2 linked regions of the Caenorhabditis elegans genome follow. The protein of the gene in region 2 purifies or fractionates together with the protein of the main gene of each other region. This does not show direct contact. Each region holds a gene or a part of one and is shown on either strand. Other genes may lie near its edges. The genes, in order: C18A3.3 and gop-2.

Region 1 (4,196 bases), on a different chromosome or scaffold from region 2:
TCAAAAAACAAAAGCTTACATCGTGGAACTTGTTCATTTTAATTGAATCACTTGTTGCCAGTGGGCTGTGTCCTGAATGTGAATGGCCATTTCCGATTGAATGTCCGATTCCGTGAATGATTTGCTCAGTTATCAAAATTATCAGGAATCCAATAATAACTAATTGATCAGTCGATGGAATCCATCCATAACTATCAACTATCGTCTGATTCCCTCTTAAATGCATTTCTTGATGTCTGACATGAGGGACAAGTCCGAGGAAACACGTGGCAATGAAGACACCGCATGAAGCACATCCCAGGAATGAGATTGATGTTTTTGAAGCGTTTCTGAAAAAAAAAATTTCTAGTTTTCATTTGTTATTTTGGAATTTAAACTGACACACAACATGTCCTTAGAAAAGTGTACGGTATCGATGTTGAGATCAGAAGAAGAATGAAAACAGCAAAAGCTGATGTTGTCATAAACAAAAATTGTTCCATTTTTAGTGCATTTTCTGAAAAATCTGCTTAGCGATTTTGATTTGGTTGGACTTTTTAAAAAATACAAGATCGATTAAAAAACGATTTGGAAGTTATTCAATGCTTGCAACAACAAATTATTTTATTGGACATTACTAAAATCAGAAGATCAACAATAAAAATGGGATAACTGTAAGAACAAAATTTTGAAAATCGAAATCCATAACAAGGAAAAATCAACAATGATGTAACAAAAGTTCATAAATTGTAAATATAAAAATAGGCTTAACGTTTGCTTAACGTCTTCCGCGTCCACCGCGTCCTCCTCGTCCACCACCACGACCACGTCCACCGAATCCTCCGCGTGGAGCTCCGAACAGATCATTGAAGCTGAAAAAAATAAAATAATTTCAGGAAAGACCGATGAAGCTTCTTACCTCTCCTTGTTGTTTCTCTTCATTCCCTTCTTCTTTCCTCCATAACCGAATTTATCCGATTTCAGTTTTCTTTTGAGTTCTCCTGCGTTTCTCATCGATCCTCCTCTTCCAGCTCCACCTCTTCCGGCACCACCTCTTCCTCCTAGACGGTCACCGAATGCTCCAGTCGGTGCGTCATCATCCTGATCAAGACCATGTCTTTTCACGTTGTTCAGCATATCTTCCAATTGTTGTTTCATTCCCTTTTTGTGCTTCTTCACAGCTTCTGCGAGGTTCTTTTTCTCTGTATTCTTGGCAGCGAGAACTTCCTGAAAAAAATGATATTCATGTTCAACGATTTTATTTTTGTAAATTCTACAAAACGAATCAGAGTAAATAGCATGTTTTACCAATATTTTAAATTTAAATTTAGTGATGGAAAATAGAAAAAATGTTTTATCTGGAAATAGATTTTTATTTCAGTTTGAAACAATTGCGAAGTGCTCAAAAACTGTATCAAAGTTGGATATTGCTGCAAAAAAATTTTATCCTGCAACTTTCAACTTGCAAACATTTTTGAGTGTTTGTCCAATCGAACCATTAGAAATTAAAGTTATTTTTCCGTTATTTTAATTAATTTTTAGGCTGAAATTTTTCTGGTTTTTTGAACAACCATTACCTTCTGAACCTTAACAGCAAACTTTTTCTCTTCACGAATACGGCGGAATGCTTCTTGTCGTTCCTTCATTTCTTGAATTCCGAGAAGTCTCTTGCGAACTTTCTGCATATGAGTGTCACTCTTTGCCATCTCTGCATAGTAATCTGTTGGTCGCAGAACTTTGATACCAAGATTCAGAAGACGTGGATAGGCGATTTGAACAGCTTTTTCAGCTTGCTTATAGCTTTAAAAAATTAGAATTTTCGAAATTATACAACCCTCGTGCAACTTACAAATTCAACTCTCTTTGGAAGTCGTCATTTTCCACTTTCTTGTCCATTTCAGAATGAGGAGTTACCACTTCAAGAGTCTCAACCCATGGAAGATCTTTTGTGATTTCAGCCAATTTTTCTTTCATTTCAGCACTTTTGTTGATGATCGGACGCTTTTTGGCTACTTGAATGTTGAGTCCATCTTTAAGAAGACCAGCAGCGAATGCGGCTTGGAGCTGCAATCAGTTTTTTTTTTTGAAAATACTTTTTAAAAAAGTAATTCTCACCTCTCTTTCATCGTCATCGCCGTCTGATTCAACCTCTTCGATATCCATCGCTTCCATTGGTTTTTCCTCGATAGCATTATCGAAGTCAAATTCGGATCCGTCGGAATCGCTCTGAAATTTTGAATTATTTTTTAAAACAAAGTATTTTCCTCACTTCTGGTTCCGGTTGACGACTTTTTGAAGTGCTGGCGAGCCGCTTGGCGAGCTTATTCATTTTACGAACCATCTGAAATCGATAATCAATAAATCCATTAAAAATTAGAAAAACACAATTATAAAATATTAAAAACGCTGAAAACGTTTTCTTTTGAAGATCGAAGAATAGTAAAAAATTAACAAATTATTATTACAAACATTCACAAGAACAAGAAAAATATAATACATGAAAACAAAAAAATTATTAACAATTATTATTGCACATCGAATCGAGCACCAATGAGAAGACGGCTGGCTGAAAGTTTTTAAATAATTAGCTTGCACTAAAAAATTAACAAAATAAATAGTATTTTAATACATGAAACTTTGACAAGAAACATTTTATATCGGTAATGTGTCTTCCCAAAAAACAGCCAATAAATTCTTGGCCGAACTGCGGCGCATTGAAATTTCTCTTCCACAAAAGATTTCTCGTTCATAATGCTGCGTCCAAACCCGAAAAAATCTCAAATGTTCTTCATTTTTTTAAATTGAACTGATAATTGAAGAGAAAAACGATTATCGGAAGCAGCATAAAGATATATTGACCCGAAAATTTACGAAGAGACCCCCAGAAAACATTATTTAGATTGAATTTTCTCTTTGAACAAACACATGAATAGGTTTTTAGTCTATCAATTGATAAGAGTCGGAGTGCAATGGTATGTGCGATGTGACTCATTTTTCTTCGATTTTTTGTACAATAAGAAACAATTTTTCAGAAAAATTTAATGAAAATGAATAAGTCTAAAGATCGAACACCTACAGTATCCACGATTGAGAGCTATGGAACGTAAGTTTTAGAATCAAATTTCTATGATATCTGTACTTTACAGAGATATGCCGCATGAGCATTATCGTTACTATAGAGAAAAAAATATATGTGGCATTTCTGGACCAATATGCTTTTGTTCAACTCTGATCTTAGTGGGATTTTTGATTTTGCTAGGAATTTTGGCGATAGTTATATTTTTCATACTTCATCGTGAGTACTAGACGTCCAGTTCTTAATATTAAGCATGTTCTTTACAGATACGTTATGAAACGAGTGGTCAGCTTCTCACTATCAACGACAAAATTATATTTCTTACTATTCTAAACCCTAAAAATGGATTTTCAACGTTTATACATGAATGAAAACATATTTTACGCCTATTGTTTGATTGGAATGAATTCTAAATTGATTTGATGTTTTAAAACTTTAAAATACTCACCATTTTTGCGGAGGAACGGGCTGAAACTTAAAATTATTTGCAGAAATTCGAAACTGAAAACTCTGTTTTGAATTGCCGCTTGAGTAAGATCCGCAGGGTGACACGCAGCGCACTGACCGCAACGCTCTAGACGACACTTGCGAGCATAGTTTTGAATGTGAACGCAGCGTTCCCGCACTGTTTTTATTGGTTTTTTGCATGTTTCTTTGTTTTTTTAAGTATTTATTAAACGTTTATCTCTCTTTACGATATTACGACATAAATTATTTTCTATCTTCTTATTCGTTTTCTTTTTTACAGGGATCTATCATTTAAGCCATGTCCTTCTTCAACCCACCAGCAAACTCCAACCATGGTTACAATGACGACGTCAATACTGGTTACAATGCCCGAATGCATTCAAAACTCGCCGAAAGAGAGGGATTTCATCTCGGAAACGGTTCAGATGAACCAAGAACTTTGTAAGTTGGGTACATTGGAAAGTTTCGAATTTCTTGTTGAAAATTGTCAATTAATTTACTCTTTTGTTGCAGGTATGTTGGAAATCTTGATTCGACAGTCACTGAGGACTTTATAGCGACTTTGTTCAATCAAATAGGATCGGTTACAAAGACCAAAGTTATTTTCGACGTAAGTTTTTCGCTTTGGAACAAGACTAATCTTTACAGAAAACTCTTGCTTGCTCGCGGTACG
Region 2 (4,239 bases):
CATTATCCATTAATCCAACTTCTTGAAGATGACGAGCCGCCAGATGAGAGTTATGAACAAGTTCATCTAGATTTTTACTTCTGTATAATTCGGAAACCTGAAAAAACATGTAAGTTGAATTTAATTCACAATTTATATTTTCAATTGAATTGTGCAACATTTTGAAATTTGGGTAGTACCTCCTTAACCAAAGCATCGTTTTTTGTGATGCGAACTCCATGAAACTGTACAGCTTCGACGATTGAAGGCACTCCGGATGCCTTTGCACGGATGGTCTGTGCCTTGTGGAACGTCTTTTCAGACATTAACCACTAGGTTTCTGGAAAAAAAAAGGTTTTAAATGTTGGCTTTTCAAGCGAAGAACCTCATTTTTGGAAAAGATCTTCAAAATTTCCTATATTGAAAAAATGAGGAACCTTTTTAGAACGTTTTTTTGAAAAAAAATTATTAATATATGAAAGGTTAAGGTTTAAAACCATTTCCAGATCAAAAATTATATTGATTTTTGCAACAAGTTTATGCAAAAATGAGTAAAATGTAAAACAACGCAACAAAATGAGAACAATAAGAAGTAAACAGGGATCAAAATAGAATAAAAATTCAAAAACAAAAAGAAAATCAGGATCTTTCGAGTTCAGCATCCTCCTCATTCTCTTCATCGACTCCGCCCAAATGAATTCTATCGATTTTTGAATTCAACTCCGACTCCAGAAATTCGTCGGGATTGGCGACTTTGTTCAGGTCGTGAACAGCTTTTCCTTTCAGAGTCTGAAAATTTGAAGATAATCAGAATTAAATTACTACAATTACCTCTTCATCTCTTTTCTTTCTCTCCTCCTCATCCAATAGTTTTTTCTCAGCCAACACTTTTTCATACATTGGAACATATTCTTTTTTGTATGCTTCAACACTTTCATCGATTGCTGTCATTACATCTTCGAATCCTTCTCCAGTTGCAGAACTGACGCAAACTGAAATTTATTATTTAAAAAAGGTTTTATTTCGAATAAAAACCTGTTTTCAGTCCGCAATAGAATTCATCAAGAACGAGACTCAATGAACGACTCAAATCATTCATATAACTGCTTCTGGCATCCTCTAAAGCTTCATCAAATCTTTCGAAATCTTGCATCCATTTGAGTGCAAATGTTGGTTTGACAATATCAGCTTTGTTGAAAACGACAATGAATGGAAGTTTGGTACGGTAGAGAATGGAACATGCGTAGAGCATATTGGACATGAATGTAGTTGGATTTGTGGCACGAGCGGAATCCACAATGTACATTACCACCTGAAAAGTCGAAATTAATAAATATGGAGTAGAATCGACTTTTCATTTTGCTTTTAATGATAGAAAATAGACCAAATATAACTGTAAAAAATGTTTAAAAGTCAAAAATTTATTAGAATCTTTTTTCATTTCAAGCAGATTTCATAAATCAAAATCCCTTACCGTGGGATGGCTACTTGCCAATGAATCAGTGATAATAGATCCACTAGCACTCCAAGTGAATGCTTCAATTTGTCCAGGAGTATCAAGAAGACAAACTGAGAAATCAGAAGATCTCTTATTAATCAACTCAATTACTTTATCAAAACGAGTACACATCAGGTTAAGACATGTCATAATTGCTCCATTTGGTCCCATTCCGAATTCTTTCATAACTTCCTTGTATTTCACAGTATCTCGAATGTCAACATTCACTGGATAAGGTACTTTGCTAACTGCCGGATCCAGATTAATCACATATGGAGGTGTTTTACGAGCATGTAGGAATGCTGTGAGACGCTGAAAATAGTAATGTTTGAAAACTCTCAAAATTGAATGAAAGTTACCTGAACAAATGTCGTTTTTCCAGAACCAGCCATTCCAAGAACCAAAATCGATGGTTTTTGATTCACATTTGGTCCAGTTTGAGGTGATGGCTCTTCTGAAGCTTCGGCCGAAGAAGATGGAAGATTTTCAGCTTTTTCAGCCATTTTTGAGAATCTGAATAAATAATCGGTTTTTCTGTTTGAATAATGATTAAAAAGTAGATAGATTCGGCATTTGAACCATTTTGAAAAAATATACACAATCTCAAATGCAGTTTTAAAAATAAAGTAGATTTACAGAAAAAAAAAAGAAATTAAAATAAACAACCGGTAATTGGGAAAAAAATATGGCTCGAATAGGTGAGCATAAAAGTAATTGTTTTTGTTTCAAAAAAAAAAGAGAACTATGGGCAAGAGAAATATCACATGTTCACTGGTTTGTTTTTTCGGAGATTTGTGATTTTAACTAGACGATGTGTAAATACAGTACTACAAAGAATAGGAATACTTAAATACAATTTACAGCATAAAATGATGAAACTGAAGAGATATTGATCCCTAGGATCTTCTTTCCGAAGAACTACTCGGTTGAGTTGGATCATCTGGTATCATTCCTGCATTTCTAGATGCTGATCTAAGATTTGCAGAATAATGTCCGGGACGTCCTTGGCTTGACGATGATGATGTGGAAACAGTTTTTCGTACACTTCCCGGTGCGCATCCTTTCACAATTCTGAATGGATTCATTCGTGGTGATGACGTCATTGTCGCTGGATCGATACGTGGAACTCCAAGAGCTGAACATATCGCCTGAAGTTTCAGACCACGTGCTGTTTGGCGACCCTATAAAGAGAAATAAAATGTATATTCTACCTGAAGGGATAGTTAAATTTCGCTTTCGTTTGGTTTTCGTTTGGTTTTAGCGGCAAATTCAAACGTTTTCAATTAATTTCGCCGATTTCGTCCATTTACAATAACTTTCCGTCTTTTTGGTTATTTTTTCCGTTACCTTGGTGAGCCGTTGCTTTGCTGCCATACACCGAATGTGATCATCGAATATGAACTTTGCAGTTAAAACCGGATGTCTTTTCTGAAACAGAAGTAATTTTTTGATTTTTTTTTCCCGTTAGTATTCTTACCTTAATTCTCGAGGGTTGCCCTTCCACCACAACATGCAAAACTTTCGAATCCGTAGAATCTCCATTAATTGTTGTATCTTGAAGAAGTCCTACGAATCGAACAATTGCCCATCCGGCTTTTCGAGAATCCGGTTCGACAAGAATTAATTGAAGTCTATCAGTGACAAGGAATCGAGCAAGACGATCACCAGGTTTTCCAAGAGAACATAGTTGTTGAGGAACCACAGTGCAGGATAGAAGATCCGAATTATCTGAAAATTGTTAATTTGAGTAGAAATATGGTGTTTTCTATGCAGATGAACTCACGTAAATTAATACAATCACCGATGGCAACTGGTTCCTGATCAGAATTCAACACTCTCACAGGTAATTCTGTGTCTCCTTCACCGGTCAAATCTCGTTCCAATTTTCGAATATGTAGGTAGAATACGATTTGCTGCAAATATATATATAATTAATTTTCAAATTTAAAAAGTTTCCTACAGTTCTTATTCGTTCTTCAAATCCACTGGGCAATCGCTTATGAAGTAGCAGATTCGAAAGAGGAGTTGCAGCTGGAGGAAGAAGCATTTCGTGACCGATTATATCGAAATTCACGTGATTCACCTGAATAAAAAGGATGAATTAAATTATTTTCGGACCTCTTGGCTTACTTCAAATTCTGCATATTCATCCTCAAACCACTCCAAAAACAGATTCTCTCCATTAACATATTGTCCAATTGATGATAAAAGTTTTAGACGAACTTCGAAGCATAATTTCGTTAAACTGGTATGTACCTGAACAATTTATGAAATTTAGATTCTGATTTTGCTCAATTTTGAATTTGTAATCTTACTTTTTCATCATCAACAGTCATTAAAATTTGCCGAATTACAAGACATGCAAGTTCCAATGTAATTGGTCGAATTCGATTGTCATCTGTTCCAACTGCTTTGATAATCGATGAAAGTGCATCAAAAAGTCGACCATCACATCCAGAAGTCGACGGAGGTGGAAGCTCATCAACAGCAGATTGAAATCGAGAACGAGATTCTGACTCCACGTTTTTAGGCTGAAATTGCTGAGTTTTAGGTCAAGGAAAACTGGGGAAAACTATATTTTTTTTTTAATAATTAATACATGCACGTTTTCTACTCACTTCTGGATCACTTATTGCTGAATTTTCAGTATCAACCAATACATCATCCACCAGATCTTCCTGTAATTTTCGACAGGATTTTTGAGCACTTTGAAGAAAATTTTCAAATTTAAAAATATTAAAGTTTGTGTAACAATCAATGTT

What was found.
Region 1: the proteins of gop-2 (region 2) and C18A3.3 fractionate together in Caenorhabditis elegans (co-fractionation; one large-scale study listed by BioGRID). This does not show direct contact.

The regions. Positions count from the first base shown.
Region 1 is NC_003280.10:5,714,431-5,718,626, reverse strand, and holds C18A3.3 (putative rRNA-processing protein EBP2 homolog), read right to left. Parts: upstream 2,321-4,196; coding exon 2,249-2,320; intron 2,206-2,248; coding exon 2,095-2,205; intron 2,044-2,094; coding exon 1,829-2,043; intron 1,780-1,828; coding exon 1,557-1,779; intron 1,207-1,556; coding exon 899-1,206; intron 852-898; coding exon 758-851; 3' UTR 589-757; downstream 1-588. Other genes in the region: zipt-3 (Zinc/iron permease), read right to left, coding at 20-329, 382-482; C18A3.10 (uncharacterized protein), read left to right, coding at 3,027-3,082, 3,126-3,274, 3,322-3,332; lelo-4 (Late ELOngation arrest), read right to left, coding at 2,377-2,545, 3,504-3,703; Cytotoxic granule-associated RNA binding protein tiar-1, read left to right, coding at 3,822-3,964, 4,037-4,133. UniProt on the Caenorhabditis elegans protein: Required for the processing of the 27S pre-rRNA.
Region 2 is NC_003281.10:5,256,774-5,261,012, reverse strand, and holds gop-2 (GPN-loop GTPase 1), read right to left. Parts: upstream 1,991-4,239; 5' UTR 1,981-1,990; coding exon 1,837-1,980; intron 1,790-1,836; coding exon 1,454-1,789; intron 1,292-1,453; coding exon 1,015-1,291; intron 972-1,014; coding exon 811-971; intron 769-810; coding exon 619-768; 3' UTR 501-618; downstream 1-500. Other genes in the region: SAM50-like protein gop-3, read right to left, coding at 1-97, 180-305; gop-1 (Protein CLEC16A homolog), read right to left, coding at 2,374-2,658, 2,825-2,905, 2,955-3,205, 3,261-3,390, 3,438-3,560, 3,608-3,733, 3,793-4,008, 4,096-4,155. UniProt on the Caenorhabditis elegans protein: Small GTPase required for proper nuclear import of RNA polymerase II (RNAPII). May act at an RNAP assembly step prior to nuclear import.